6 linked regions of the Nothobranchius furzeri genome follow. The protein of the gene in region 2 purifies or fractionates together with the protein of the main gene of each other region. This does not show direct contact. Links are inferred from orthologs where the notes say so. Each region holds a gene or a part of one and is shown on either strand. Other genes may lie near its edges. The genes, in order: larp7, ddx21, eftud2, c1qbp, dkc1 and rsl1d1.

Region 1 (5,470 bases), on a different chromosome or scaffold from region 2:
ATAGAAAAACATATCATCATCTGAAATGACCCAATGTAAAAATTAGCAACTAAAGCAGAGTTTCGTTTGTTGTTACCACGTAAACTGTGCGGTCGTCGACGTTTTTCGGTGGGTCTCCGAGTGGATGTTGACGTCTGACTTTAGTTCCTTCGAGGTTGAGCTAAAACACAAAAGCGTTTAGAATGTCATTTAAACAGTGACAGTCACGAGTAACGAGAATAAAAAAAGTCATCACCTCCACTACAGATGAGTTTCTCAGTGCTCTGGCAATCAGTTTAGTGTCAGTTGTCAGTTTCTTCATCCGACTGAAGCTCGTCAAAACAGAAATATCAACATCTACAAGAAGTGGAAAACACGTCAAGCTCTGATCGAGTCAATCTGAGATTTAGAACTAGCACTTTCAGACACTCACATCCTTTGTCGGACTCATCGATGAGCTTTTTCAGAAAGCGGTCCTTGTACAGGTTGACGTCTCCAAACCAAAACTCCACTTGCTTCTTTATGTCGCTGAGCAGCTGTTTAACTCGAGACCTTTTTTTTCTTTCCATCTCCTTGTTCTTCTCCATAGATGTTACTGCATCAGCTGCTTCTTTCTCTGTGTTCAGCATCCTGGCTGTGGGGTGACAGCGGAGCTCTTTAACACAGACACATTCAGAAAGAGTAGACGACTGTGGACTTGTCTGTTTACGGGAGTTTTTGGGAGGAACGAGACCTAATTTAATCACAAAGCGACAGAATGAACGACGGTCTCCTACTGATAATACAAGCTGCTAACACACAAGCAGCACGCACATGTCTAGAGCTGTTTACATGAACACAAACAATGAGAGTCAAGACTTTTTACAGTCAAACTGTACTAGAAACTCTAGGGTAGAGCCTTGTGACAATGAGTGAGTTAGGGATGCGTAGATCATTGGATTGTTTATTATGATCTTTATGTTGATAGATTGATTTTTTATTTGTATAGATAACATAATTATAGAATAAAATAATACAAGTAAGTTTCACAATATGACATAAAAACAATAAATATACAGGGTAGCACAAAAAAAGCATAAAGCACTTATTTCCATAGAAACCCTGAGAAGGTAGTTATAATACGTAATATAACAACAACGCCTCAGAGTAAAAACAGTACAGTTAAACGACTAAATAAGGTTAAGAGACCAAAAATACACAAATCTGAAAACAAACAAAGGTGTCACTCTCTTTTTGGGCCAACATTTGGACTATAAGTAGTTTGACCCTTTTCCTAAAAAACAGACTTCAATTGACATGCCCTGACTACATTTGGCAGATCATACAATATTTACCACTCTCAGAGTTTATAACTGTATATTGAACACCAGAAACATACAGTTTATTCACCAATATGCTGTCTGGATGCTAAGTTGTGTAACTGATGTTTGTCTAAATATATATAAAGCCTAAAATATGCAGAGATCACATTTTAAAAGACGATAAGAACAGATTTAAGCCACCAGATCTGTTTAGTATTTAAATCTAGTGTAGAGACTAGATGAAGCCATCAAAATCATTTTGATCCAGCCAGAATTAATAAACTACCCAAAAAAACATGAATGTTTTGTAAAAGAAATGTACTTGATTTCTTTGCCACTTGCCGTCGGTTCACAGGTGCACAAAACCTTTAAAAATCAAACAAAACCTTCATCTAATTAACTTACCATTAAAAAGTTTGTCATTTATTTGCATTATTTATACTTTTACCCTATTTAAAATGCGTCCGGAATTTAAGCACCATTTAAGGAACTACACCAGATATATACACTCACTGGCTACTTTACTGGGTGCACCTTGCTAGCACCGGGTTGAACCCCTTTGCCTTCAGAACTGCCTTAAGTCTTCAACAAGGTACAGGAAACATTCCTCAGAGGTTCCACCACATCCCAAAAGTGCTCTACTGGATTGAGATCTTGTGACTGTGGAGGCCATTTGAGTACAGTGAACTGATTGTCATGTTCAAGGAACCAGTCTGAGATGAGTGGAGCTTTGTGACATGGTGCATTATCCTGTGGAAGTAGCCATGAGAAGATGGGTGCACTGTGGTCATAAAGGGATGGACATGGTCAGCAACAATACTCAGGTAGGCTGTGGCTTTGCAACATGATCAGTTAGTACAAAGGGGCCCAACGTGTGCCAAGAAAATGTTCCCCACACCATTACACCACCACCACCACCAGCATTAACTGTTGATACAAGGCAGGATGGATGTTACAGCAGAAGTCGAGACACTTCAGGCCAGGCAACATTTTTCCAATCTTCTTTAGTCCAATTTTGGTGAGCCTGTGTGAGTTGTAGCCTCAGTTTCCAGTTCTTCGCTGACATGAGAGGTACCCGTGGAGGGGTCTTCTGCTGCTGTGGCCCGTCTGCCTCAAGGTTCGCATCTTCTGCATAACTCGGTTGTAACGAGTGGTTATTTGAGTTACTGTTGCCTTTCTATCAGCTCGAACCAGTCTGGACATTCTCCTCTGACCTCTGGCATCAACAACCACAGAACTGCTGCTCCCTGGATGTTTTCCCTTTTCTGGACCATTCTCTGTAAACTCTAGAGATGGTTGTGTGTGACAATCCCAGAAGATCAGCTGTTTCTGTAATAATCAGACCAGCCCATCGGACACCAACAACCATGCCACGTTCAAAATCACTTCAATCACCTTTCTTCCCGGTTCTGATGCTCGGTTTGAACTCAGGGGATCGTCTTCGTGATCTCTACATGCCCACATGCATTAAGTTGCCACCATGTGATTGGCTGATTAGTAATTTTCCTTAAGGAGCAGTTGGACAGTTGTAACTAATAAAGTGGCCAGTGAGTGTATTTTGTCGTTTTATGACGTGTTTGTTTGAATTGTGAAGCATAATATACTTAAAACCAGAATGGCACTAAACATATATTATTTAGAAGGAAAATAACACATTTTCTGACTGTTTCCGCGGTCCGTAAGGCTAACATTTGTTAACAACATTCGACGTTAGTACAGGGGAATTCGCGGGTTGGTTTCAAAAACGCTGCGCTGGTGTTAGTACCTCCAAACCTGGAAAACCGATCTTTATCACCCAGAGGAAAAACTAGAATGAAAACTTACCCAATTTAAGAAAATATAAAAAGACCAGTTGGCTTTTAAATTCGTAAAAATGTTATTAAATCGCAGCTTGCTGCATAACATCACACTAATGACTGCTCAGAGCCGTCGCAGCCTGAAGTCGTCATGAGCGTTTTTCTACATCCGGCAAGTCTTTTCAAAATAAAGGTAAACCAATCATTCATTTCGGTTTCAGTGATTCTGTTGATAATTTGCGTGAACTCTATCCAGTCGATTTTTTTAAAAATATAAACAAAATAATGTGCATCATATAGCGGACAGCAGAATACGAAATATGAGCTAAGATCAATACATAACGATTTCACGACGTAAACCGTGGCCGGTTAGTTCAGTTGGTTAGAGTGTGGTGCTAATAGCGCCAAGATTGCGGTTGCAATCTCCGTACGGGCCATTCTTTATTGTGCTGCATTGTTTCATCCTTCATATTAATTATTTCATTCATTCATTTATTTAATACTTCCCATTTTATTCTAATGTATGTGTAGAGTCATAAGAAGTTACACAAAAAGCGATATTTGACATTAACAAAACTACATACATTTGTTATTTTTCATATTTCATATATTTCCTACACATTTTCATATGTTCAAAATACTTTCAAACTTTTTTAGTTTCTTGCACAAATCATCCTCAGTGCAGCACTCAATCCTTTTCTTGATGAGTTGCGATAACTGATTGTAGAAAGTCTTTGCCCGCTGATCCTCTACGCAATCTATTGATGTGTTGCAAACGTTACGCAGTACCGTGACCAACTTTTCATTGCTGCTGACCTCACAGCGCTGAAGGACCCATTTCCCCCACTCGTCCCACATTTCGTCATCTGTAAAATTCACAGCAATACTCTCTTGGCTGCACAGGGACTCTGGCTCTGGGTCATACAAGTCATTCCATATGGCTCTGTAAGAAGATGAAAATTAAATGCATTTTTTTACAATAACAAAGTGTTCAAATATTTAGAATTTAAATTGATTTAAAACAAAGCCATTAGCTTACACAATATTTTTCAGTGGAAATGGAGTCAAGTCACTGAGTGAAAACAGGCCTTTGTAGCTGACTCGGTTCCCCTCCATCCTGTGAGAGAAGAGCGTGTTTAGAAAATCCCCCACTTAGTGTTTACATCAATCAAGAGGTGTGGAAATTCATCAAACCGGAAAAAAGAATGTTACAAAATTACCAAAGCTTAAACCGATTTCTAATTCTGTCATTTGACTCACTTCCCTAAAGAGTTCATTTGAAATGCCACGTCACCCTCAGAAGGTTCTTACCACAGCTCTTGAAGCCTTCTTTTCACTCGTATGGCATTGGAAAGAGCCTCCAGTTCCTCATCAGCGATGTTTGACCATCCAAGTCTAAATGAGGAAAAGAAAGTAACACATTGGGACATATTTTAGTCTGTCATTCTGTTTAGGAAATCTTCAAGCTTTGGGTTTATTTTGAAACTGAAACGTGTTCAGATATTTTATCGAGATCTTACCCAAGGTGAGTGATATTGTCTGACACTCTCAGAGTATCGGCAATAACCTGGATGGCATCCATGTCCAAGTTGTTATCTCCAAGCCTTTAGAATATAGTAGTTTTGTCAGTGGAAAAGCAACTGAACATACAGTGCTGTGGTTTCGTTTTGTTTAATTAAAGGCGTCACTGGGAAACTGTGTAACACTTGAAATATGACCAGTCTCTCTGAGTTTCACATGCATGCTAAACGTGTAAATTGTATTCAACTCCCATTACCTGCATTAGCTAGCTAAAAGAGAAGGAAAACTGATCAAATCAGCAGTCTCTTCTATGTCACAGTCACAGTTAGTATTCATGACCTTTGTCGGAGGTACTGTCGGGACACACAGTTTTCAATTCAATTCAATTCAAAATTAATTTATTAATCCCAGAGGGAAAGTGGTTGCTATGCATACCGCGTCACACCCATCATCACCCAGGCGAGTCTAAATAAGGAGGCCAACCTCGTCAGCTTACCGCTCAGTCATTGTTTCTGGAATCGAACTCAGAGCTCATATCCTTGCTGATCTCCTATGAACTTTTTATCAACCGGCCTTCTTTCATTCTTATACGGTAACATCGTTCCGCTCCGGTTCCTACCGAGCGCTCTGGTGTTTCTTGATCAAATCGCGTGTCTAATTCTTCCTTTGGAAAAATACTCTGAGGCAAAAATAAAACTGTCTTGAAGACATTTGACCCTTTCCATCCGAAGTTAAACTGCAATTAAAACATAAAACCAACAGTCAAACATGGTGGTGGTAGTGGGATGATGTGGGACTGCTTTGGGACTTGGACCAATCAATGTAATTGATGCAACCTCAAATTTTTCTCTCTAGTTTTAATAAATAAAACTA
Region 2 (3,994 bases):
CAAAGGTAACTCATAAGGTGAATATATATGAACCCAGGCAGCAGTTTTTCTTTAGGATTGAGAGGAGATGCAGGAAGATAATAAACAGGCAGGACAGAAAAATAGTCAAATAAAAACAAGTTAGTTTTTGTACCTGCTGTTGCAACAAACAGACACCATTGAAGGTAATCAGAAGTGAGGAACAGAAAATGAAATAATTATTTTAATGTTTAGAGCAGCAGGAACTCCGAGAGGCTGCAGGCGCATCAGTGAGTTTGCGGCTGCTGCACAGGGGGAGGGGGGAGAGGGCTGAAGCTGGGGGAGGGGGGAGATGGCTGAAGCAGAAACTACCGTTGTTAAAAAGAAATGTGTTTAACTTTGAAAATGTGGGCGCAATTTTAATTGTCAAAAACTCTAGCGAACCATTCGTTCATTTTGCTCAAATAGAAATAGAGGCCTGCCTCTAATACTGGCCCTCCTTCCAATAAAGGCCTGGAGCTTGATGAGCTTGAGTCAAATACAGGCCCGGGCCTGTATTAGAGGATTTACGGTATTTCATCTTATCAAGCCATAAATCTATACAATGAAAAAGGAAATGCACCATCCAGATTCTACCCACATTATTCAAGAAAAATACATGAATGCTTACAGTTCTGTCTTTGAGGAAGGTCATTCTGTGAATGTGGTTTTCAATCTCTTCTCCTAGCTGTTCTTTCATGGTTCTCCAGGCATAACCGATATTATGCATCTCCTGAGAGCACACCAGCTGCATAGTGGTGAAACCCTGCAAAAACAAGCAAAGCATTTGGAAAGAAAAACAAATATTTACAATCCTAAAGGAACAATGAATCTTAAAACAGACCATCCTTGGTTGGCTCTGCTATGTGGGGGAATCTGGGTAAATAAAGTGATGTAGCTGTAATGCCTAGAGCCCATCTGGGTGGTCTTTAAAAAACTAAACATTACAAAATCAGATATAAGCTACTAGACTCTAGAGTCATTTGAGGATGAATGTGCAATAATGTACCAACCTAACCTGGTGGAGTTTGAATGTGTTGACAAAAGACAAAACTTAAGAAAAAAAGCTGAACTTGATGTAAATCACGATGTAAAACAAATCACTATTTTTGTCCATCTTTAATGTTCACTGGTAACTTTAAGTGAGATTTGAAGATATCAGAAGGTTTTTTTTTTAAAGATTAATTTTCATAAGCTGAACATGTAATAAATAAATGTTTTGGATTAATAAAAAATTGGTTTATTTTTAACTAAAATCTTCAAGCATTGGTGGAAATCTGAACTCAATAAAAACAGGCATCAAAAAATAAATTCGTAATTCCTGTGCTTGTTTTGAATACAGCTTCTTTGAGAATAAGTTATAGAAAAGAAAACAAGCAAAGTTTTACACAGGTGAAATTTTAAAGCAGCTTAAAAGGAAAATATTAATAAAATACAGTGTTTCCCCTAGGAATTTTTCCAGCTGTGGTGTGTGTGTGTGTGTGTGTGTGTGTGTGTGTGTGTGTGTGTGTGTGACACGTCTGACCTTTAAGTTAATATTGTTTTATTAGACGCACTCCACTTTGAACTGCACCAATCCAGCAACTGCTGCATTTTAATAACTAGTATTAATGGTGAATACACCAATATTTGCACAAGAGGAATTTTTGTTTTAAACTCTCAGTGACACTTGGGGGGGGGGAAGGAGGGGTTAATTTTTCTTGGCGTCTGGAAAAACATCTTCTGCCCCCCTTTATTTGACTTTCTGCCCCCTTTATTTTGGTCCAAGATCATTACTGGGCTGGCCCTATTAAAAAAGTTCTACACCCCTGCTTAGTAGACTTAATGAAGTATTTTTAAGCCAGTATAAAAATGACTGAAACACTAATTTATATATTTGGCATTAATGACCAATATCTTTGATTTAATTTATTTGTTAAGAACATCAAGATGCATTACAGTGAACATTATAATAAAGTAAAGTTTTCTAGTGCAGAGAGGAGACAACCCATAGAAGCACTGATTTGATCTCATTTCAGAGAAAAATAGAACAGGTCAGATGCACCTAATAAATAAAATTACTAACAAACTCAGGAATCTGTTTCTTTGCTTCATTGTTCTGGTGCTGAAAATATCACTAATGCGGATCAAAGGAGATACACAGATGAATGCACCTCTTATTATTTGGAAATTAGTGGGTGTGGTTTACATCAATACATTATTTTAAATCTGAAATCGATATTCGTGCCGGGATTCCCTCGCTGCGGACGTTCTCTCCGATGACATCATTGGGCATGAGGGGATAAAAGGAACGCTGGATACACGCCCGAGGAGCTACTCCTAACCCATGAGTAGTCTCCATTTCTGCTCCGTTCTGGACACCCTGACTTTGTAGAATACGGTTGTGATTACGTGCGTGTGTTTAGAGGAAAGCCTCTGCATGGTATTCTACTTAAGCCTGAGTGAGTGGTTCCTAGTATTTAGTGCCAATCGCTTCATACTGGTATCTTTGCCTGGACAGAAAACTTCGGGGAGCCTTTTTGCATATAGAAGCTCTTAGAAACCCGTACCAGCCTAAGTAAATATTTCATTTGAAAAGCTACCTGAGATATGTTGATTATAGTCTGTTTTCCAGCTTTTAATTAAAAGCTGTGATTTTTCTTTAGTACCTTTTTTTTTACTCAGGAGTTTTCTGTTGGGCTGTGTCTAGTGGTATTTGTTAGAACCTCCAGCCCCAAGATCAAGTGTAATCTGTGTAACAAAAATAATGTATGTTTTAATTAAATAAGGAAAATATTTTTATACCCAGGTTTCTTTCTCATCTGTTCTCATCTTTTCTCTGTCCTCTTAGCTTCTTAAAGTAAGGGGTAAAGCATAAGTTAAAACCTAACAATATATTTGATCACAATAGTAAAGGAACTATTACAGAGCAAGTTTTTCAATTAAATCAGAACATTAATATTTAAGTGCATGAATTAATACATCTGAACTCATGCAGTAGGAACCAGGAAATATGAAATACTAGAACCAGACACAGCTTTTTATATTCTTTTAATTTGAGTTAACTTATTTTTTCCTAATGTTGTTGGCATTTTTCCAATGGGGGGGGGGGGGGGGGGATAATTTTTAAAACCCGACCGGAGTGGAGGCAGTGACCAACGCATGCCATTTTCGGCTCCGTCTTGTCAAATGCACCATATCCGTTACGACAAAGGTAACTTTAAATATTCAACCGAAAAAGAGGCGAGCTGAAGAAAACCTGGGGAGTACTGAAGAAACGTGAGCAACAGTGAAGCAAGAACAGAGATTGGTTACTGTCTGTGTGTGTGTGCGTGGGGCGGATCAGTTGTGTGTGTAGGGAGGGGTGGGCACTCCATGTGACTGGCCAATCACAGAGCGTGAAGGCAGTCAGTTACCCAATGAGGATTTTTATTCAGAACGATTACAGATATTCACGATTTTTAATCGTTTCATGCTCGTATTCGTCAAAAATGCTTTATCCGCGGCTCATCCCGAGCTGTAACCACCCTGCCCTGCCTCCTCCTCCTTGCTGCCTGCTGGCTGTGATCACAAGCAACAACAGAGTAGTTCCCGCTGCTTCTTCGGGAAACAGTGCAAAAAAATAAAATAAAAATCAATAAAACGGGATCTTTCAGCCGTGGCGGGCCACCACGACTACGCCTATGTAAGGGAAACACTGAAATAGACTTCCCCTATGCTCAGAAAGAACAAATTCAAATTCTGTATATCCTCTGTAGTTAGTGTAGCAATCTATTGTGCAGGGATGGATTAGTTTAGTCTGTGAGATCTTCGTGTTTGGCTAGCAATTAGCTTTTTTAGTTTGCTGACCATTAATTAAAAGCTTAAGAAAAAGATGATTTTTGCTTTTTTGTTGGCATCACAGCGGAGCCTCGAAAGAAAGGAGCAATTTCTTTGGAGGTGAAGCAAAGAGCTAAAAATCTGAGTGAAGATCGGTGCGGCCTACACTCGTTTGAGGAAGCTAAAGGGAGCTACCAAA
Region 3 (4,785 bases), on a different chromosome or scaffold from region 2:
GTTTGATGTCATCATTTTAAAAATATTAGACCAGATGATACTCAGTACTCAAGTAGCCTTCTAATCAGATACTTGTTTACCCTTACTTGAGTAATAAACCCTATATCAGGAAAATATCGTCCTCGGTTTGTGTCCTTCCAGTGAGCTTTGCAGATGTGGGAAAATGTCATCAGGCAGTAATCATTGTTAAATTCATAATTATTCTCGGAGAGAGACCAACTCTTATCTGCCCCTGGGAGCCCCGTAATGCATAGCGTCATTTCAACATGGGGGTGTCCGCGACACGGTTTACAGGTGCTGGCCAGTAAATTAGAATATCATCAAAAGGTTGAAAATATTTCAGTAATTCCATTCAAAACGTGAAACTTGTACATTATATTCATGCAATGCACACAGACCAATGTATTTCCAATGTTCATTACATTTAAATTTGATATTCATAAGTGACAACTAATGAAAACTCCAAATTTGGTATCTCAAAAAATTAGAATATTCTGAAAAGGCTGAATATAGAAGACACCTGCTGCCACTCTAATCAGCTGATTTACTCAAAACACCTGCAAAGGCCTTTAAAAGGTCCCTCAGTCTTGTTTTGAAGGCACCACAATCATGGGGAAGACTTCTGACTTAACAGCTGTCCAAAAGACAATCATTGACACCTTGCACAAGGAGGGCAAGACACAAAAGGTGATTGCTAAAGAAGCTGGCTGTTCGCAGAGCTCTGTGTCCAAGCACATTAACAGACAGGCGAAGGGACGGAAAAAATGTGGTAGAAAAAAAGTGTACAAGCTCTAGGGATAACCGCACCCTGCAGAGAATTGTGACGACAAACCCATTCAAAAATGTGGGGGAGATCCACAAAGAGTGGACTGCAGCTGGAGTCAGCGCTTCAAGAACCACCACGAGGAGACTCATGAAAGACATGGGATTCAGGTGTCGCATTCCGTGTGTCAAGCCACTCTTGAACAAGAAACAGCGCAAGAAGCGTCTCGCCTGGGCCAAGGACAAAAAGGACTGGACTGATGCTGAGTGGTCCAAAGTTATGTTTTCTGATGAAAGCAAGTTCTGCATTTCCTTTGGAAATCAAGGACCCAGAGTCTGGAGGAAGAGCGGAAAAGCACAGAATCCACGTTGCATGAGGTCCAGTGTAAAGTTTCCACCGTCAGTGATGGTGTGGGGTGCCATGTCATCTGCCGGTGTTGGCCCACTCTGTTTCCTGAGGTCCAGGGTCAATGCAGCCGTCTACCAGGAAGTTTTAGAGCACTTCATGCTTCCTGCTGCTGACCAACTTTATGGGGATGCAGACTTCACCTTTCAACAGGACTTGGCACCTGCACACAGTGCCAAAACCACCAGCACCTGGTTCAAGGACCATGGTATCCCTGTCCTTGATTGGCCAGCAAACTCGCCTGACCTTAACCCCATAGAAAATCTATGGGGTATTGTGAAGCGGAGGATGCAATACGCTAGACCCAACAATGCAGAGGAGCTGAAGACGACTATCAGAGCAACCTGGGCTCTCATAACACCTGAGCAGTGCCACAGACTGATCGAGTCCATGCCACGCCGCATTACTGCAGTTATTGAGGCAAAAGGAGCCCCGACTAAGTATTGAGTGCTATACATGCACATTCTTTTCATGTTCATTCTTTTCAGTTGGCCAACATTAGAGAAACAAACATTTTTTCATTGGCCTTTAGAATATTCTAATTTTCTGAGATACCAGATTTGATGTTTTCATTGGTTGTCACCTATAAATATCAAAATTAAACGTAATAAACATCGGAAATACATTGGTCTGTGTGCATTGCATGAATATAATGTACAAGTTTCACGTTTTGAATGGAATTACTGAAATATTTTCAACCTTTTGATGATATTCTAATTTACTGGCCAGCACCTGTATATGCAGGTAGCGGTGCTGCGGCTGCTTTATATAGCAACTCGTTGCATTCTCCCTCAACCCAAATCCTCGGATCACGCGTTTTAGCTAAAACGCTAACGTTAGCTTGCCTTGCGTTGACTGTAGAGTTGTGGGTGATGGTCATGAGATTTGAAGCGTTGCTGCCTTTCACAGACACTTTTTCTGCACGTGCTGCAAACAGGATAGCCGTCTTCTATCAACTGTCCCTCGGCATTCTTCATATATCCAAAACATGTCCATGATACCCACTTTGTCTTCTTTGAGGGATAATAAATGTCCTGAGTGCTGCCGTCTCCTCCTCTGGCCATTATTTCAGCTTTAGCTTCAAGAAAGTTTTGGTTGTAAACAACAAAGCGCGCATGTGCCGCCGGCAACTTCAGCAGATGATACGGTGGCTGGTAAGGGTCATGGCGCCTACACCGCAACCACGGTAACCCACCGAGATAATATTTTGTTAAAAACAAGACGGTTATTATTATTGTCAACTTTTTTACCGGGGTTTACCGCTACACCGGTTACCGTGACAACCCTACTTTATATACAACAAGCTTGTATTTTTGCACTTTGGCCATCACTCCAGACTTTTCCCATAGAAGAAAAACTTATTTCTAGACAAACGAAGGCGGTTCAAATCCAGTCATACCGGTGAACTCTCCGAAGAATCGGTTACAGACCAGCCGAAGCAGAGGCCTGATGTTCAGTTTCAGCTCCTCTTTGGTCAGGTGGATCCCAAGCTCATCCAGAACTCGAGGGAGAGAGGTGTCCACGTCTCCGACCACCTGGACACAAGGACAGTTACACACCGGGCAAGCTGGACCTGAGTCTGATGGACGAACGGAGCACTGAGGAAGGCATGTTTAACCTGTGAGAGGATCTTGTAAAGAGGCTCCAGGACAAACTCCACAAAGCTGCGCTGAGAGTTGCTGCTGGGAGCTTTCTTTGTGAACTTGCGACTAAACAATAAGCAGAAAGGAATTCCTGAGTTATGTGAACAAAGATCAGCTCCACGTGTGCGGACACTGAGACTCACGTTTTGGGGTTGAAGTAAATGTCTCCCCAGAGCCGCTTGGCAAACTCGTTGTAGTTGATGTCCCCTACGGACCAGAGTCAGGAGTGAATTAGTCCTGAGAGAACTACACTGTAGTTACAGCTGCTTAAGGATGAGCCTCTCACCGTAGGTGTCCGAGTAGATCTTTGCAAACGACCCCAGCGTGAAACAGATGCTGTACTGAGAGCTGGCAAAGCACACGTTTCCAAGGAGAGGAGACACCACCAAGTTCTCATCCGTGGAATACGTGCTGAAAAGGAAGACAAAGTCTCTTTTTATGTTAGATCTGCAGATCAGTATGCACCAATACCAGATATTTAAAACAGAGTACGAGTACTTTCTAATTGCCACTTCAAATCATTTGAAATTGTTGAAAAAAAAATGCTCCTTTTTGTTTGCTTTTATGGAACTACCCACTGTGAGCCACATTTAGTGTACCAATGTCTTATAGAAAATACAATCTTAACAGAAAACGACAGGAATCCAAGATCTGAAGGCTCCTTAGCCAGAATCAGTCTCACCTCTTCTTTCCACCAGCCGTGAAAGCGGTCGCGTAACGTAACAGCAGCGGTTTACCCGCGAGTTCATTCCCAATCAGGACTGTTTCTGATGCAAAAAGGGAGTGAGAGCTTTCCACGCTGTCGACCCCAGGATGTCACAAAATCACAGGAGAATTGCGACACTACACGTGATTTCAAAAGTCCACACACAATAACAAGCAAGGAGAATGACACTGGGCTGCGCAGTGGCGCAGTGTTTAGAGCTGTTGCCTTGTAGCAAGAAGGTCCTGGGTTCGCTTCCCGGCCTGGGATCTTTCTGCATGGAGTTTGCATGTTCTCCCTGTGCATGCGTGGGTTCTCTCCGGGTACTCCGGCTTCCTCCCACAGTCCAAAAACATGACTGTCAGGTTGATTGGTCTGTCTAAATTGTCCTTAGGTGTGTGTGTGTGTGTCTCTATGTTGCCCTGTGATGGACTGGCTCTCTGTCCAGGGTGTACCCCGCCTGATTGCCCGTTGACCGCTGGAGATAGGCACCAGAGCCCCCCCCCCGGGGACCCTACGTGGACAAGTGGGTTCAGACAATGGATGGATGGATGGAGAACAACACCTGCATGTATCAAAAAGGTCTGTTGTTTATGTTCTGTTCTGTTTACATCGGCTACGGGGGTTACAACCGGAAAGGATGTACGTTTACCTGCGTGTGACTTTTATTTTGAAAGTTTCTGGATGTTCTACACTGCTTTTGTGTTTGACTTTCTGACTGGTGTGATCTAAACTGCAGAATTTGACGTGTTTTGGAAGTGTGGCGTGTAAAAAGTAGTCTTCAAACGTGATGACAGCGTCCCCTTGCTTCTGGGGCGTGTCCAAAACATCACGTTTTGCTGCCGTTGGAACTCATCCACTTTAAGCAGCGGCTAACTGTGCATTGTACATTTCACAGTTGTTTTGCAACACTTTTCACGTGCAGCGGAAATGTGCTCCTGTATAGAGTGAATGTCATTTATCACATAATGTTATAAATCCAGTGGGGGGAATTCTGGTAAATAGGGGAACAGCCGCAGCAGCGACAATTAAGCTGTGGTATCGGGCCGATATCTATGCTGGTGTCAGCATCAGTGCATTTCTATTTGCAAATCAGAGCTTAAAGGGACTTTACGGACTTTTGAATTTTTATGCTCGCGATTGCCCCCTCAGTCCAAAAGCGTAACGGCAGCTTCAATAGTAGGCTCGTGCACGAGGCGCGCATGCTGTACGTGCACACACCTTAACAAAAATAACAGCTGAGACAGTCCCTTGTGTGTGTGTGTGTGTGT
Region 4 (5,235 bases), on a different chromosome or scaffold from region 2:
TGTGAGGTTTACAATGTCAGAACACCTGCATGAGACAGGGTGTAAATTACAGTCTGCCAGAATGACTCACCACCTTCAGATTTCTCCAACACCGATAAAAATGATCAAATACGAAACATATCTTGCTATTAACAGCGTGTGCAGGCCAGAGCGCTGAAGCTCGGAGCGCATTATTATGAAGCTAGGTCACATGCGGAGGACACACACACACAAAATATACTTGTTTTCAGTTGCATTTATTGGGCCCACTTACTTTTTCTTAGGCCCACCCACAAATGAGTTTCTGGCTACGCTAATGGTGACATATGACAGACTTCTCTGAGCTCCGCAGCCATTACACTTTTCACCTCGCACACCCCCTAGCGGCAGCTCGCGCACCACACCACACTTAGGGAATCCCTGCTCTAGAAGGTCACATCATGTTGATGAAGGGATCCTCTTTTCTTTTTTACTCTGCACTCAGGATTGTACAACATATACTCTAATTTCAACATGTTGTCACATAAATAGTTTATATCTTTGAAGAGGCACCACGTGCGTTTCAGTTTCCTGCTTAGAACCAAAAATGTTTGCATTTATAATTGATGGAATCTCTCTGAGATCCACTTGCATTTTACTTGTTTGTAAGTCAAATGAAAACCTACTTTACCTACCTGCATGTAGTTTGTAGAATAAAGGCAAACATTAAATGAGCTTAATTAGAGTAGAACAGGTTTTCATATAAACTATTATAATTTCTAATAAAAGTATTCCAACTGTTGAAGTAAACCAGTTAATGAAAGAAATGTTTCAACAAGGTGATTATCATTTTTGTTTGTTTACGACGTGTTTCTATAATGCCTGAAAGCTTTGTTTCCAGATAGAAACTTTAAAGTTTTGTCACAGACTCGTGACATAAAGTCCACCCTCTTACATTTTTAGATTTTAATGCATCATAACAAAGCTGAAAAGGCCAGATATTTACCAGGTATTAAAAGCAAAACGAAAAGTTTTGTGTGGAAAAGGAAGTATCAGCCAGCTGGTAATCAAACCTGAGTTTACTGGTATGGAGAATACAGGCGTGTGTAAACACAGTGTCTCAGTACAGGGGTCAAGAGGTCGCTAACAGCTTAGTTCCAATTTGAACACAACCTCTAAATTGAGGTCAGCCCAATTGCCATCAACAGCAGCTCAGATATTAATTGTTCACAACACCTCCACAGACCTCCGCTTGAAAAAAGGTGAACTGTCCCTTTAAAGAAGATGGTTATCGTAGTTCCATTGTCCATACAAACATCTTTATAAAGTTCTTTGCACAAAATTCTTCTGACATGAAGTGATTTCAGCTTTTTTATTTCGACAGTGAGTTGTTTCAAGCCTCACTTTAAGAAAACATCCATCCTACTCAGGCTAATATAACCTGAGGTGCCCTCATATTCAGGGGGGTTTCAGGTAGAGTTGCTGCTGCTCCATGGGGGTTTCAGGTAGAGTTGCTGCTGCTCCATTGGTAGTACATCTCCCTTGCACCTGGGAGTCAGCGCAACCTCCCCGCTCTCACAGTCAGCGAACGGGGAGAAACAGCCTTGCAGCTGCCCTGGGCAAGGCTGAAGTTCACAGGCGTCACTCTGACCACCCCCAGCAGGTAATGTGACACGGACACAACATGACCGACACCAGCTGAGCGGGGTTTGAACCTGTAACCTTCCAATTATGAGGCAGACACTTAAGTCCTCTTCCACCTTGCCCCAATTCCCTGTTTGTGTCATCACAAACTGGGACTTTTTTTAGGCTTGTTAAACCAAAATGCATATGTCCATTTAAAATCTTCCGCTTGGGCACAAAGGGCAGTATTCAAATAAGGAATTGATGATTAGTTAATATATTTTAGATGTGTTTTTTTTTATCATTTGTACATTATGTGCTTCATTTGACTGATGTAATATGTCACCATCGCTTTAAAAAACATTGCTTCCGGTTCAGAGGTCGCAGTGACGCGAGGTCGCTGTGTCCTTCCCCACGTGCTTCCTGTATCTTCCAGAAGAAGCAGCCGTAACCTGCGTGGCTAAGGGGGCTTTCAGGGGCGTTAGATTAAATTATTTTGTTCTCACACAGCGTTTTAATAAGCACACCGCTATGCTGAAGTCGTTTGTCCGCGTAGCGGGAGCCGCTGCTCGCTTGTCCTCAGTCTCGCGGGCCTTACCAATCAACTGCCCGACTCTGTGCGCTCCCAGCTCGGCTACAATTCGGCCGTTCACCCGCTCCCTGTGGATGCTGAATAATAACGGAGCGTCATCAGGCTACAGACCCAAACTGTTCAGCTCAAAGGTGTTGGGTCCTTCTGTGTCGTGTGGATGTGAAGGACTGCACACAGAAGGTAAGGTCACGTTTTAAAGTAACGTCTTAATCAGCTAGCTTGTTAGCCTCAAGCTAGGAGATTTACAACGTAATTAAACATGAAGTTCTAGGTTTTAAATACACATGTAAACACTCAAGTACACACACTTGTCTTACTTAAGCGAGTTAAGTGAACTTTATACGCAGCATTTCATATTTAGTCTTTCTGAAAGGAGTTTTAAAGGTGTTGATGCTAATTCAGACAGATCTATCATTTTTGCCCTCACTTTATTCAGGCGATAAAGCATTTGGTGACTTCCTGTCTGATGAGATCAAAGAAGAGAAGGTAATCCAGAAAAACAAAAGTCTACCTAAAATGACTGGAGGATGGGAGGTGGGGATGAATGGAACAGAGGTGAAACTCACAAAGCATGCTTCTGGAGACAAGTAAGGATGCTACGATTTGTTCTGAGAGGAAGTGGTGCTCAGTGTGGGCTCACGGTGTGGTCTGATTTCAGAATCACCGTCACGTTCAATGTCAACAACAGCATTCCTCCTAACTTTGAGGAGGAGGCAGTGGAGCAGGGGCAGTCACAGAAATCGGCAGAGGAGGAAGTAAGCCCATCATCAATCTATGACCTGATTGGTCGTGGAAAGAAAAAATGATTTTAACACTTTATAATTCTATAATTGTATCATTTTTGTCCTTCTTTGTAGCCAGAGATTGTGTCAACACCCAACTTTGTTGTTGAAGTGACAAAACAAGCTGCTAAACATTCCCTTGTGTTTGACTGTCATTTTCCTGAAGATGAGGTAAAACAAACATACACAAGCACATGCTAAATAGTGAGGAGCCGGTTCTGTCTCAGTTAAATGAAACCTGCTGGATTTGTGTGTTGTAGGTAAGTAATGCCGAGGGGGAGGAGGAGAGCGACATCTTTGCAATCCGGGAGGTCAGTTTCCAACCAGAGGGGGATGTGGACTGGAAGGAGACCAGTTACACACTCAACACAGACTCCCTGGACTGGGTAAGAGCTGAGACTGGTTCAGAAAGTTAATGAGGCTGCAGGACGCTACTCTCATAGTCCGTTTATTCCAGGCGCTTTATGACCACCTGATGGATTTCTTGGCTGACCGCGGGGTTGACAACACCTTCGCCGATGAGCTGATGGAGCTGAGCACCGCCATTGAGCATCAAGAGTACATCAAGTTCCTGGAGGATCTCCAGGGCTTTGTGAAATGTAATTAATGTCAAATGTAATAGTTTCTACCTAATAAAGATGGAGGCTGTAGGGTAAAGTGCTCAGTGACTGATTAGATGGTCGCCAGCAGCTGCCACACTACTCTTAGTCAGTAAAGGTTTAAGTTTTTCTGTAAAGTGTGGCTGTAACTTGAGAGAGAACCTACTGCCAGTTACAGAAGTCTGGGTTTTACTGCCTGGCTCATCCGTAAAAGTCAGGATTTCTGAAAACGCCAACTAACCTGTTTTTCTTTCCGTTTTTAATTGTTTATTTATGACGGATCTGAGCAACTGAGTTTTTGCTGACTGATGCGGTTTTGTCGAATGAGTGAGGTGATGTTTGTTGGAGAGATGGAAAGTTTGTCCAATAAAACCGTTTGATACCAGAATTCAAATGTAATTTTTCTGTGGCCACCGGTACCATTTAGAGTTACAGTTACCTTTTAGCACAGGGGTGTCCAATCCACTATCCAGCATGTTTTCCTGCTTCAACACAACTGATTCAACAGCTGATAGCAGGTTCTGCAGATGCCTGTTAATCAGCTATTGACTAATCTGAGGTGTGTAGATGCACAGAAACCTCTCAAACAAGGAACATTATTGGAAGCCACTGTTCTAGCAAAACACAGCTGCTAGCAGAGGTATATTCATGGATCCAGTCGCACCACCCGGAGGTGTGAGTGGGGTCGGGAGTGTTTCACAAGCTATTTTTTTTGCAGGAACTTTTCTGCAGCTGTTTCGGTTTTCTTCTGGCCTCTTATCTGTTGCATCTCTAGGCAGGTAGCTGCGGGACATTTGTCAGTTTCCTGAGTGTCGGGTTTGGACAGTTGGACCTTTCTGGTAATCTTGACAGCTGAAGGAATCCTGTTTCTCTTTGTTTTTAGCCTTATGGTCCTGCTCAAGTGGCTTCAGAATTAATCTTCACCCCTGTTCAAGCATTCATATATGCACAATAGTTTTATGAATTTAGGAGAGAATTGATTGCAGCTGTAATCAGCTCTGGGTAGTGACTGAAAGAATGATCGCATATACAAGTGGACAAAATGAGTTTTCTTCTCAGGGTGTCTGAGCTCTCCCTTACAGATAGCTCTTGGTTTTATATCCATCTGCAAACTATCTAAAAGTTGTGTTTTTGTGAATTAATTTGGGTTTTATGCTCTTCATTACTTACATACTCTAATTATGTCTGAACTTTAATTGTGCTTGTACACTTTTCCTTATCCTAATTTTTTAATTCTTATGATTTTAATGCATGTGACTTTTTTATGACTAAAAGAGAAGAAAGACAGTTTAACCTGACCCACCTCGCTTTAACCCGGTGCTCAGCCACCTTAACAAAACACCTGGATAAGCCCCTGGCAGTTCCTCCCAGGTTAGTGTCTCTAGACATTTTTAATGACTTATTTGTGTTGACAGCAAATTAAATTAAATGAAAACGCTTTTCATCTCTGGAGCCTGTGTACACATTAAGTTTTATATATTTCCCAGGTATCAAAGTCGTATTTTTGGTTTATTAATAATTAATCATGAGTGTTTTCCTTCTGGGGCTGTATTCTCCGACACTAGTATCAGCCTGAGGGGGGAGGAAGGGGGAGTCAGCTGAGGGGAAAGTTCAGAAACCCTCCGCAGAGACTCGAGCTCCATGGCGAGCGGAGGCAGCGTCCGGACCCGGCTGCAGGACT
Region 5 (5,280 bases), on a different chromosome or scaffold from region 2:
ATTTCTCCTGTATTTAAAAATTGAAAGCGTACAACTATGCCGCGTTATATTCACCTGGACACAGCTCGTCTGTATATTTTTCACCGCAGAGTTGTCCTTTTTTGAATGAGGAACATAGTTATGGGTTTGTGCCGTTTTTCTCTTAACTAGAACATTCTTATAAACAGACGTGCTGAATTTGGCAAGCGCATGATTCACAACACGGAGGAGATTCACGATTGCATCTAGTCAATCAGAAGTAGAACACCGTAGACTGACGCGACAAAAAAACATGTTTAACATCCACTATAACGAACTCAGCTAAAACACTAAGTCCAGCTTGTTTATTTTCTGTTACTTACCGGGCTGGCTCTTCCAAATGACGGCTCACTTGACCGCGGTGCTCTTCCTCAGCCCCCACGTTTTCGTCTCAAATGTTCACTTAGGGACGTCGTGCTTCCGTGCCATGCTAGATGGTTTTTGCATATTTTGCCTTTTCAAGGCATCTAGACTGAAGTGCTCCCATACTCGTGAGGTTTTTGTCCGGGGTTTCTCTAAAGTTTTGTCGCTTCTATTTTCTTCCGTATTTCCTCTTGTTCCGCCATCTCTCACAGCAAGATGAGCGTCAGTAACGTGATACGTCATGAAAACCGAGGGCACTCATTGGCTCATTTCTTCTTCTACGGCTCCACTGGTAGATCAGTGGCTCATTACTGCCACACACTGGCGGCAAATTTAACAGCTTGTAACCGATGTCAGATTGTGGTAAAAAATAGACTTTATGCGGTAAAATATGATTATTAAACAACTAATCGATGACTAAAAAGGTTGTTAACTATTTTAATAATCGATTATAATCGATTAGTTGTTTCAGCTCTAGACAAGACAGAGCTGAAAACGGCTTGTGCATGCGTCGGTCACTGCCTCCGCTCAGGTTTTTTTTTTAATGTATTTATTTTAACTCTCTCACTCACACACACACACCTCAGTCAACATAGTTTTGTTTAACCGTGTGTGGGAAAAATGCCAACAATGTGAGGAAAAAATCAGTTTAATCAAATTAAAATAAATTCTAGTATTTCATATTTCCTAGTTCCTACTGCATGAGTTCAGATGCATTTATTCATGCACTTAAACATTAATGTTCTGATTTTACTGAAAAACTTGTTCTGTAATGGTTTCTTTACTATTGTGATCAAAAATATTTAATCTCAGTTCTGAGGCTGCTCTGTAAATAGTTTTCAGATAAACAATACACATATCAACTTCTGATCAATCCAATTTCAGATTTAAAATAATGCATTGATGTAAACCACACCCACTAATTTACAAATAATAAATAAGAGGTGCATTCATCTGTGTATCTCCTTTGATCCGCATTAGTGATATTTTCAGCACCAGAACAATGAAGCAAAGAAACAGATTCCTGAGTTTGTTAGTAATTTTATTTATTAGGTGCATCTAACCTGTTCTATTTTTCTCTGAAATGAGATCAAATCAGTGCTTCTATGGGTTGTCTCCTCTCTGCACTAGAAAAATTTACTTTATTATAATGTTCACTGTAATGCATCTTGATGTTCTTAACACAAATTAAATCAAAGATATGGGTCAATAATGCCAAATATGTAAATTTTTGTTTCAGTCATTTTTATACTGGCTTAAAAATACTTCATTAAGTCTACTAAGCAGGGGTGTAGAAGGGTTTTTAATATTAACATAAAGGTGAGACTTGTCAATCATTCTCCCCCCAGCACCACCACCGGAAAAATTCCCAGGGGAAACGCTTGTCTGACAGCTAGAGCCGATTCCAACAGGGTTCTAGTCGAGTCAACTCATTACACCAGATGAAACCACAAACATGTCACTAAACAGAGCAGATAACAAATGCTTTATAGCACAGAGTCAATGTGATCAGAATAGGAGGTCGTCTTGGCTGTGGTCAAGTGGGGTCATTCCCCAGACGGCTACTGGTCGTGGTCAGGCAGAACGCCGAGACCCCTCTAGCAGCCGCAGGAGAAGCTCTGATCCAGAACGGAGCAGAAGCAAAGACCACAACAGGCCCACAGCACTCAGAGAATGGATAAACCAGTTCATCATATCACATGACCAGGGTCAAACATGTCAGCAGGCACAAACAGGAGGAGGGGTTCCTGACCTTTAATAACAAGGGCCACTGGGAGGAGTCCAAAGTGGGGACTTTGGTGTCTGGCTGGATTAAAAACTCTTGACTCTCTTGGATCTCCTGTTGAATAAAAACATCAGTTTGTTCAACAGGAAGAGAATCTCCAAATAGATCTTAAGTTGAATAAATTCACACCAACCCCAACATCTTCAGCCACTCTCTTCGACTTCTTCTTCTTCTTTGTGGATGCTGCAAAATAAAAACCAAACTAAAGTAGCATAAATCCTTCCTAAAATCAGAATTCCAGGATTTTCTCAGAGAACAACAATCTACCGGGCCCTAAGTGGTGTTTTGTCACTAGCCAGACTGCTCAAGTGTTCACCAATATTCTAGACGAGTCTTCATGCCCACCGGGAACTGAACATTGCATTATAACAGGTTACTGGTCCCAGGTAACCTCAGGTTAAAGGTCACTAACTCCAGGGACCATACTACACCTGCTTTTTAAAAGAGTGTTCAACAGGTTTATCCAGGCGATTACCTTCATGTGTGCAGGAGCAGCAAACCTGCAGCACGTGCAGCATGGTGGCCCTGGAGATGGGCCCTGCTCCAGTGCAACTCTGAGCCCAAAAGGGCCTTTCAGTGGAAAAAGTACGACCGAAAGAAAGTATTTTATCTGAAGGAACAGAAATTTAAATCCCTGTTGCAGTTTGGTAAATTTGGAAAACTGTAAATGAATGATATAGAGCCCACGTGGCCTGCAGCTGCAGCACGTGGTGGAGCGCACGTGGCTGCTAGCGGAGCTAACAGGCCACTGACCGAGAACCCGCTCTCTCAAAGTTAACTACACTAAACGCTGCTGGAGCTTATGAAGAAAACACGAGTCCACAGAGCAAACCCTTAGTTCTGTTATTGAATTAAACCCAACTACTAAAGCATGTTGGACACGTGGAGGGATTTGTTTGTTTTAACTGGCTCAGACGCTGCCAAACCTCCTCATAGACCAACTTAGGAATTTTTTTTACTGCGATTCCTTCTGCGTAAAACACGCTTGTACGTGCACGTGGACGTGTTGTTAATAAAATCCCTGACTCAGCAGAATTATGTTCAAACTTAGCAATAAATTAAACACAGACTGTCGCTTACAAAACGTGCTCGACACTCACCAGCTTCGTCCGCCATCTTCTAATGAAAGATTCTTCTTCTGCTTGATGTTTTATGGCGGCTGGCACGAAAGTACTTGGTGCACTACCGCCACCAACTGGTCACAGAGCAGAAATGAAACCAAATGAGGTAAATAAATAAATGAATTTGCTATTTAAATACAATTTTTACATAATTAAATATAAAATGGAAAAAAATAAATGTGAAAAATAATTCTGACTTTTCTTTCGGTGGTTCTAATGCTCTTCTTTAATTAACTAGCATCCTGGGGGGAAATAAACACTAAAAAAGGCCAGTGATATTTGGAGTCAGATAAGTCTGTCATTAAGTAGTGAGACACAGATCACTGGTGGGCCTCTAGTGCAATAGTGTGTTAAAAAACGGAAAAAACATGAGATGACTGCGGATTTTAGAAGAAACGGGAACATGCTAAATGCTTGTTCCATCCTGGGAGAGAAGGTGGAGGTGGCGGAGGAACATAAATACCTCAGTGTCCACCCGGACGGCAGACGGGACGGATCAGTGTTTACAGTTAACCCCAAAATCCCACTATCTCCGCGTAGTGGAATTTGAGTGTCCACAGCTGCAGATCCAATAAAAATACTTCCTTTTTTATTGTTTGATAAACGTGTGTCCACTCCAGGCCAGGTGGGGGCAGTAATGCTGCACTGCTACCACCCACAAACGTCGAAGAAGAAGAAGACTCAGCATAATTCAGCTGGATTTTATGCGAGAACTTCAGGATCAGATGGAAGGTGAGGATCTTCTTGATTAGTGAAGTAGTTTTTGTTCAGGTCTGAATAACCTGCAGCTTCCGGGTTAAAACATTCTGATGACGTGTGGATGTTTTACTGCAGGGTTGTAAATGAAACCCTGCAGAACCCAGCTGCCTCATCAACATTCACTAGGACAACTTATTTAGATCGTTCCTGTCCGCAGGTATTCTGTCCCATTACTCGTGGCCACACTGCTCCAGGTGTTCTTTCTCCAGATGTTTCTGCTCTTATCACAGATGTTCAACAGCATCTAGATCAGTTCAGAACAGTCCAGTGCTTGGTTCTGATCCATTCTCGGTGTTCCTAGCTGTGTTTTCTGATGATAGACTCTGGACAGTAGATTTGGCTCCAGAGGGTCTTGGTGGTCCTGGGATTGGACCCTGAACCTTTTCAGGAATCCTTGGTCCAGGTGCAGTGAGTCCAGAACAGAACTGATCTTCCTCCATCTTCTACAGTGTTTCTAGAGCCGATTTCCATCTCATCAATCAAAATGATGCTCTCCCTGAAGCTCGTCAGTGTGGTTTTTGGTGATCTCTAGTCTGTTCTTTTGGGTTTTTCTGTCACCAGGAATCCTCCTGGGTCTTCAACCCCTCATGGTGGGATCAGAAAGGCTTCAACAGTCCTGGATGCATTGTTTGTCTGATTCTTCCTTCTGATCAACCTGAGAGTGGATCTCATCTCGGATCCACGTTCTTAGTGGTTGCCCACATTCCCATCAACCTCCTACTTTATTAAAATTGTCAGCTGAGGTCCCAGGACCATGAAGCTGCCTGGAGACGGTCTATGAGCCGTGGCCTTTAATACCCCTGACCTTTGTGAGCTCATCTGACAGCTAATGTTTCTGTGGTCCAGGTTCAGTTTGGCCCAACCAGCTGCAGCATGACTCCTCAAACGGGTCAGATGATGGCTGATGTGAAGTGAAGTTAAACCAAAAGGACAAATGTCTCTTTAAGGGGGACAAACCTGTCTACCCAAGCTAGTTTAGCAGATCTTTGTATGACAAACAAATCATTTCTGTGTGTGTGTGTGTGTGCTCCGTTTCACTGCATGAAAGGAGAAATAACACAAATTCACGGTTTCTAGGTGATTCTTGTGACACCTCAGCGACCCCATCAAACAGGAGGTGCACCTGGATCACAGGAAGTGCAAGGAAGATCAGAGACAACGCCGCTGACTGGCACAACCTGATGCTCAGGTGGGACAGGCTGAACGACGAAGGATTCAATTTGGCAGCAAGTA
Region 6 (5,306 bases), on a different chromosome or scaffold from region 2:
CATTACTGGTCCTTTCTGTCAACACAGCGGGTAATAAGTGATGCAAATGAAGTGTGAGTTTGAACAAAAACTAAAGACTGTGTGGGTTAGCAGTTCCACAGCACAAGAAAACAGAAGGTGGCAAAGGCTGGACAGCACTGATGCTAGAAGAACTCGAGACAAAGACTAGCAACATCACAGACCAGTGACACCAACATCTGCCCAGAGGTTTGAGATGGTTGGAACCTGCACAGACGGAAAAAGAGCTTTTTCCTCAAGCCTTGAGGTTTCCATCACCCCCCTGTAGAATATTGTGCCTTGTGATTATTTTGTAGAAGGGAGATTTATTTTTCTTTCTAAAGCCCAGTTCACAGATCTTTTAATCGTCAGATCATTTACCAAGCACAAGGGAAACACGCGATGAAAAGGCACGGATGTAAAGGTCACAGCCCAAGGGTGTGGTGTGCAGTAACTCGGCTAACGTTTATGTAGCTTTAGCCTTTTACTGCAGGTAACAGGTAACATGGCTGGGAAAATAGGAAACAATGAGCGCCCTGAAAAGGAAAGTTAAGCAGAGCGGCAGACATCGCTGATAATAAGGTTGACAAAAACTGTTCACTTGTGTGGACGTGTTGTACCCAAGCCCCCACAATGCGGCTCTAAAATTGGGCCCAACCCGGAAGTACCAGAAATTGCAGTTCCACCCTCATCCACTGGGGGCTGGTGTCAGAAGCGAGCAAATCCTCACTGACTCCCATGTTAAAAATACCAATTTCACAGCAGAAATAAACATGTTTACAGCCTGGTACCAAAACATGTTTTTGGTTTAAATTATCTAGTTTACACTCATGACAACTCTGAGGGGGGTGAATTTTATTCTCACTGTTTAAGTGTATTAAAAGCCTAAAATTCTGTATAATTAATGAGCATCAGACCCACGTGACCGCAGAGCTAGCTCGTGGAAAGGCCTCAGTAGAGCCTCGGTCTGGCTTGGAAACTGCTCCGGGATTTTGAGTCTCTGTGTTTGTGTATTCTTTATTGGATATTATTTGTGCAATTGTTGGACAAAACAACTTGCTGTGGCATTAATTGCGCTAATAGAGCGTCCAAGGAGTCTCCACTTCATTTTTTCGGTAAGTAAAATTATATTTTTGTATTTTAGATCACTGCCGAGCTGAGCTTAGATTTTAATAAGTACTGTTTAACCATGAAATTTAAATGTAATAGGGTAAAACCCAGTGCATTTAACATAAAGCTGCACTTTAGAAAATGGGTTGAAATATAACATGTTGGTGGAGCTGGGTTCTAACTATCGGCTTGTGGAGCTCTCGGTAGACGGATGTTTTCCACCCGGTTTTACACAGCGGTCAGCCCGGCGTATCTCTGACTCAGAAGCTCTGGTGTTGTGCACAGTTAACTCCGGTTGTAGCTAGGTTGCTACCTACGTTAGCTTAGCTCCAACATTCGCATTAGCTTTGGGTTAGCTTCTGGTTAGCTTGAAGCTAGTTCAACCGGGTGTCGTCACTTGATCCCAGCCTTACAGCCCCACCTCTTCCCTTTTTTGGAATTGTCTGGGCTTGACGGCAACCTGCTGAAGGTTTTCACTGATATGAAACTTTGTTTTGTTCGTTTTTCGCTGTATTTTATTGCTTCTTAAATAAACTACATTTAAAACAATCAGACATTGAGAATTGAATGTCTGTTTTTATTTTTATTTTAAACCAGCAGAACATTTTTGTTCATTTTTGTTCTGTTCTCTAATGAGAGAAGATTTCAGTTTAAAACAACTTTTGTCAATCCAAAACAGTTCAATAAGGCTCGACATGTTCAGCTTTAGAAAATAAATCTTTAAGTGAAAAATTATCTTCTAATATATTCAAATCTCACTTTAAAGCACCGGAGAGCATCAAAGAGGCCCAAAAACAGTGATTTGTTTTATATTGTGATATATACTGACTGATAAGAACTGGCTCTGACTGATTCTGGTACCAGTCTGAACACCAAACCCTGGTGGTCTAAATTAGTTGTTTTTGTTGACAGATGTTGTCTAAATAACAACAAAGACACCAGCAGCAAATAAGTAAAATGCTTCACACTTATCGTGCATTTGGTCATTCTTAATTGGTGGAAAAACAAGTTTAAAAGTTGTGCTGAATAACCAATCTGACGAGTAAAACAGACAGCAAACAGACTATCAAAGATCAAACTCTCAACTGTATCACACCCACCATCTCGAGTTTGGCCACGATGGCTTGGACCGCCGCTTCAATGTTTTCTGTCACCTCATCTGCTGTCATGTCCGACTGAGCGACGCGTGCCATGCTGGAAAATGACCAAGTTGGATGGTGAAACGCGTGGCAGCAGAACGACAGGTTTTAACACAACCGTTACGCTTATTATGTATCAAAGTTGTAGAGACAGGCTCCATCAGAGGGAGGACCATCTGGATTTACATTGAGTCTCTCTGGCACCAAAATAACCCACGTCAAACAGAAACCATCAACAGGGTTGTACAGAGGTGCGGTTGATTCACAACATTAAACTTTCATCCCAGTCTGTTACACCCCCCCATTCAAATAAAACAGGTGTTTTCAATCTGCTGCAACAGGGATGGAAACATCCTGGGACTGATCTCACCAGCAGCAGCCTTTGTTGGTGACCGTCAGGGTGGTGCCCTGGATGATGTTCTGGATGTCTCGGGCCAGATGGTTACTCTGCAAGTTCACAGATAGAGGTGCTCTGCAAAGACAATAACATGGCGGCAATACTTGGAACTCCCTTCTCTCAACACGCTCACTTAAACAGCTGGGATAGTTCGTACCTTTTCCTTTCATAGAAATGCTTTCCGAGATGGGACGGCAGAAGCCGACGGACACGGGCATCGGCGAGGAAGATGCTGAAGTTTCCCAGCAGGCGACGCTTGGCTTCATAGGGTTTATATTCTGTCTTCAGAACCCTGTACGGTATAATCTACCAAAACAACAAATAATCAGTACATTGGAAACTTTGACTTTGTTTAATGACCAAACTGTTACACTGCTGACATCACTGGACATTGTGGTAGAGTTAAATTATGGTAGCATGGTCAGATTACCTCTGATATGTTCTTGACACCTTTCTCCTGCAGCAGCTTCTTATAAAACCTCTGGGTCTGATCTGAGGTCATTCGGGGCTCATCCTTAGTGAAGAGGCAAACTTCCTCCGTGTCAGACTGATGGCCATGGGGCAAAGGACTGAAGAACGGAACACACACTTAAAATGATGGCAAACACAGTTCAGTAATAGAGCAACTCCCCAGTCCCGGACTGCGGGACTCACATCTGGATGCATTGCTTCTTCTTAGGGATCTTCCACAGGGTGAAGAGCAGGCTGATCGGCTGGGTCTCCTCCGAGAACAGCGAGTCTGAAGCGGCTGCTTTAGTTTTGAGAAACGCCTGCAAGGCTTGGACGGCCTTTTTCACCTGCAAATGTAAATAAACGTAAACTTAGGAACTCCTGCTTAAAGTCCCAGGACATCCACGAGGTCCAGAATGAAGCTAGCGTGTCTCGAGCCTGACTTAACAACGCCCAAACAAGCTAACTTGTGTTCGCTACATCTACCGGAAATAGCTACAAGCTCACAAACGCAGTTTCTGATACTTCAAACAACACTTGATACAACTGTGAGAGGATAAACGACACTTTAGAGACTTTTACCTGCGCCCGGTCTAGTTTTACTTCTGACTTTTCCGCCATGCCGTCCGCTTCACGTGCGAAGACAACGCGCATGCGCAATACAGACTCGTGGGCCACGTGACGAATACAAATTGAAAAACTTTATTCGTATGTCAAAAACTGACAAAAATGAGAATTTGAGGCTAAAATACTATTTCACGTGCGCATTTTTCTGTTAACACGTTTCAAAAACAAAATGTGATCAGAATAAGTGAAACTATAAGGAAGAAATTTGAAACCCAAAAATATCTTTGCATTAGTTTTTATGCAGACATAAATCTAGCAAGAAAACCTGTTTATACTAGCTTAGATGTGTTTATTATGACAACTGTCTCCAGCTCAGAGAAGTAAACAGTGTAACAAACTATTTTTAATTTAACTGTCTGGCCTTACAAGATATAAAAATTAATAGTAAAACAGTCTGACTGAGTGCTGCCTGCGTGGTTGTGCTTACCTGTAAATATTAACCACTCAGGGAGGAATTCAGATTTTCCTAACTTAAGTCCAGGATTCCCCATTCAGAGCAATGTGTGTAATCTCTGAGGTGACCTGAAGAAACCCTTAGATCCAACATTAATAAAGCTTATGTCAACACTGATGCACGTGTTAAACTCTTTAATGAAGATCTTCACTTACAAATGTGCACACCTCCTCCTAACTTGGTCCTGATAACATAGTGGACTGGGAAAACTTTGAAGTATTCAGTCTATTAAAGTAGATTTGCGTTAAATTCATTGTTTAAACAAGCAGATCAAACATGTCGAGAGTAAAACATAATAAAACAAGTACACTGCTCTGTCAGCTTGATCATTTATTTTCAGTTGAGATTATGTAACAGCCTGTTTTCTGAGAGCGTTTGTCCTTGGATTATCAGAGTAGTACTGTGTGAGCTCAGTCCAAATAACCCAAACTAAAATTCTGATACAGCAATCTTTAAAATCAAATATCCACCGGACTCCCAAGTCCACTCTAAAGAAGGGAGATGCACTTTTAATTATAATTACAAGCCAACTCCAATGTTTGCATGATGTAGAAATCACTGAGCGTTTTCAGCTCTTGCTCTTCAAACTCAGCAACGCCGCATCCACAGACCTAAAGAACAAATAGCGTGTCCAGCCGACAGCACAGCTGGCCCTGGGAGTAATCAAGAGGGGCGTGTAGCTACATTAGTGGCATAGCCGAGCTCTCAATATGAGAAAGCTGACGCGCTGGACATGGACTCGTTTCATGTTGCTCATCATATAAACTGATTTCAGTCTTGTTTTCTTCATTTGATATGATTTGACTCTGCTTCCTTCCTCCTTGTTGGCGATCTTCTCTTCAGCAGAGTTGTGTGTAGAGAGAGAGGAGCTGTTTGGGTCAGCTCGGGCAGCGTTTCTCCTCAGGTAACGAGTGAAGGAGCTCCATGCACGCAGGTGCATTTAGTCCTTTTCTGGAACCAGCTTCAGCACTTTGCCGATGGCGATGGTTTTGCCTGGAGATTAGAGTTAAAGCTCGTGTTTATACAGGATGTAGAGGTTTGTAAATACATTTAATTTCCACCCACAAAGATGCAGCAAATATAAATACTATGGGACACAAAAGTAAATAAAAACAGCAAAGAATGACAACTA

The links.
Region 1: the proteins of ddx21 (region 2) and larp7 purify together in Homo sapiens (affinity purification with mass spectrometry; 5 studies listed by BioGRID and IntAct, with this or other methods). This does not show direct contact. The link is inferred for Nothobranchius furzeri from reciprocal best matches to the Homo sapiens genes DDX21 and LARP7.
Region 3: the proteins of ddx21 (region 2) and eftud2 purify together in Homo sapiens (affinity purification with mass spectrometry; 3 studies listed by BioGRID and IntAct, with this or other methods). This does not show direct contact. The link is inferred for Nothobranchius furzeri from reciprocal best matches to the Homo sapiens genes DDX21 and EFTUD2.
Region 4: the proteins of ddx21 (region 2) and c1qbp purify together in Homo sapiens (co-immunoprecipitation; 3 studies listed by BioGRID and IntAct, with this or other methods). This does not show direct contact. The link is inferred for Nothobranchius furzeri from reciprocal best matches to the Homo sapiens genes DDX21 and C1QBP.
Region 5: the proteins of ddx21 (region 2) and dkc1 purify together in Homo sapiens (co-immunoprecipitation; 3 studies listed by BioGRID and IntAct, with this or other methods). This does not show direct contact. The link is inferred for Nothobranchius furzeri from reciprocal best matches to the Homo sapiens genes DDX21 and DKC1.
Region 6: the proteins of ddx21 (region 2) and rsl1d1 purify together in Homo sapiens (affinity purification with mass spectrometry; 3 studies listed by BioGRID and IntAct, with this or other methods). This does not show direct contact. The link is inferred for Nothobranchius furzeri from reciprocal best matches to the Homo sapiens genes DDX21 and RSL1D1.

The regions. Positions count from the first base shown.
Region 1 is NC_091742.1:73,340,686-73,346,155, reverse strand, and holds the start of larp7 (la-related protein 7), read right to left. Parts: upstream 3,252-5,470; 5' UTR 3,105-3,251; intron 635-3,104; exon of another isoform or gene 614-634; 5' UTR 609-613; coding exon 413-608; intron 337-412; coding exon 236-336; intron 161-235; coding exon 77-160; intron 1-76. Other genes in the region: NACHT, LRR and PYD domains-containing protein 3, read right to left, coding at 3,701-4,019, 4,116-4,193, 4,388-4,471, 4,597-4,680. UniProt on the Homo sapiens protein: RNA-binding protein that specifically binds distinct small nuclear RNA (snRNAs) and regulates their processing and function.
Region 2 is NC_091749.1:53,561,755-53,565,748, forward strand, and holds part of ddx21 (nucleolar RNA helicase 2), read right to left. Parts: intron 764-3,994; coding exon 629-763; intron 1-628.
Region 3 is NC_091745.1:13,635,990-13,640,774, forward strand, and holds part of eftud2 (116 kDa U5 small nuclear ribonucleoprotein component), read right to left. Parts: intron 3,223-4,785; coding exon 3,098-3,222; intron 3,019-3,097; coding exon 2,955-3,018; intron 2,878-2,954; coding exon 2,787-2,877; intron 2,704-2,786; coding exon 2,568-2,703; intron 1-2,567. UniProt on the Homo sapiens protein: Required for pre-mRNA splicing as component of the spliceosome, including pre-catalytic, catalytic and post-catalytic spliceosomal complexes. Component of the U5 snRNP and the U4/U6-U5 tri-snRNP complex, a building block of the spliceosome.
Region 4 is NC_091750.1:66,120,281-66,125,515, reverse strand, and holds c1qbp (complement component 1 Q subcomponent-binding protein, mitochondrial), read left to right. Parts: upstream 1-1,958; 5' UTR 1,959-2,112; coding exon 2,113-2,353; intron 2,354-2,609; coding exon 2,610-2,760; intron 2,761-2,831; coding exon 2,832-2,928; intron 2,929-3,030; coding exon 3,031-3,126; intron 3,127-3,215; coding exon 3,216-3,341; intron 3,342-3,412; coding exon 3,413-3,562; 3' UTR 3,563-3,942; downstream 3,943-5,235. Other genes in the region: carbohydrate-responsive element-binding protein, read left to right, coding at 5,196-5,235.
Region 5 is NC_091758.1:16,263,073-16,268,352, forward strand, and holds the start of dkc1 (H/ACA ribonucleoprotein complex subunit DKC1), read right to left. Parts: upstream 3,363-5,280; 5' UTR 3,284-3,362; coding exon 3,268-3,283; intron 2,351-3,267; coding exon 2,301-2,350; intron 2,222-2,300; coding exon 2,135-2,221; intron 574-2,134; exon of another isoform or gene 342-573; intron 1-341. Other genes in the region: cinp (cyclin-dependent kinase 2-interacting protein), read left to right, coding at 3,993-4,020, 5,125-5,280.
Region 6 is NC_091756.1:27,386,591-27,391,896, forward strand, and holds the start of rsl1d1 (ribosomal L1 domain-containing protein 1), read right to left. Parts: upstream 3,764-5,306; 5' UTR 3,748-3,763; coding exon 3,676-3,747; intron 3,441-3,675; coding exon 3,298-3,440; intron 3,213-3,297; coding exon 3,074-3,212; intron 2,950-3,073; coding exon 2,801-2,949; intron 2,719-2,800; coding exon 2,617-2,718; intron 2,502-2,616; exon of another isoform or gene 2,376-2,501; intron 2,302-2,375; coding exon 2,208-2,301; intron 16-2,207; coding exon 1-15. Other genes in the region: gspt1 (eukaryotic peptide chain release factor GTP-binding subunit ERF3A), read right to left, coding at 5,115-5,167. UniProt on the Homo sapiens protein: Regulates cellular senescence through inhibition of PTEN translation. Acts as a pro-apoptotic regulator in response to DNA damage.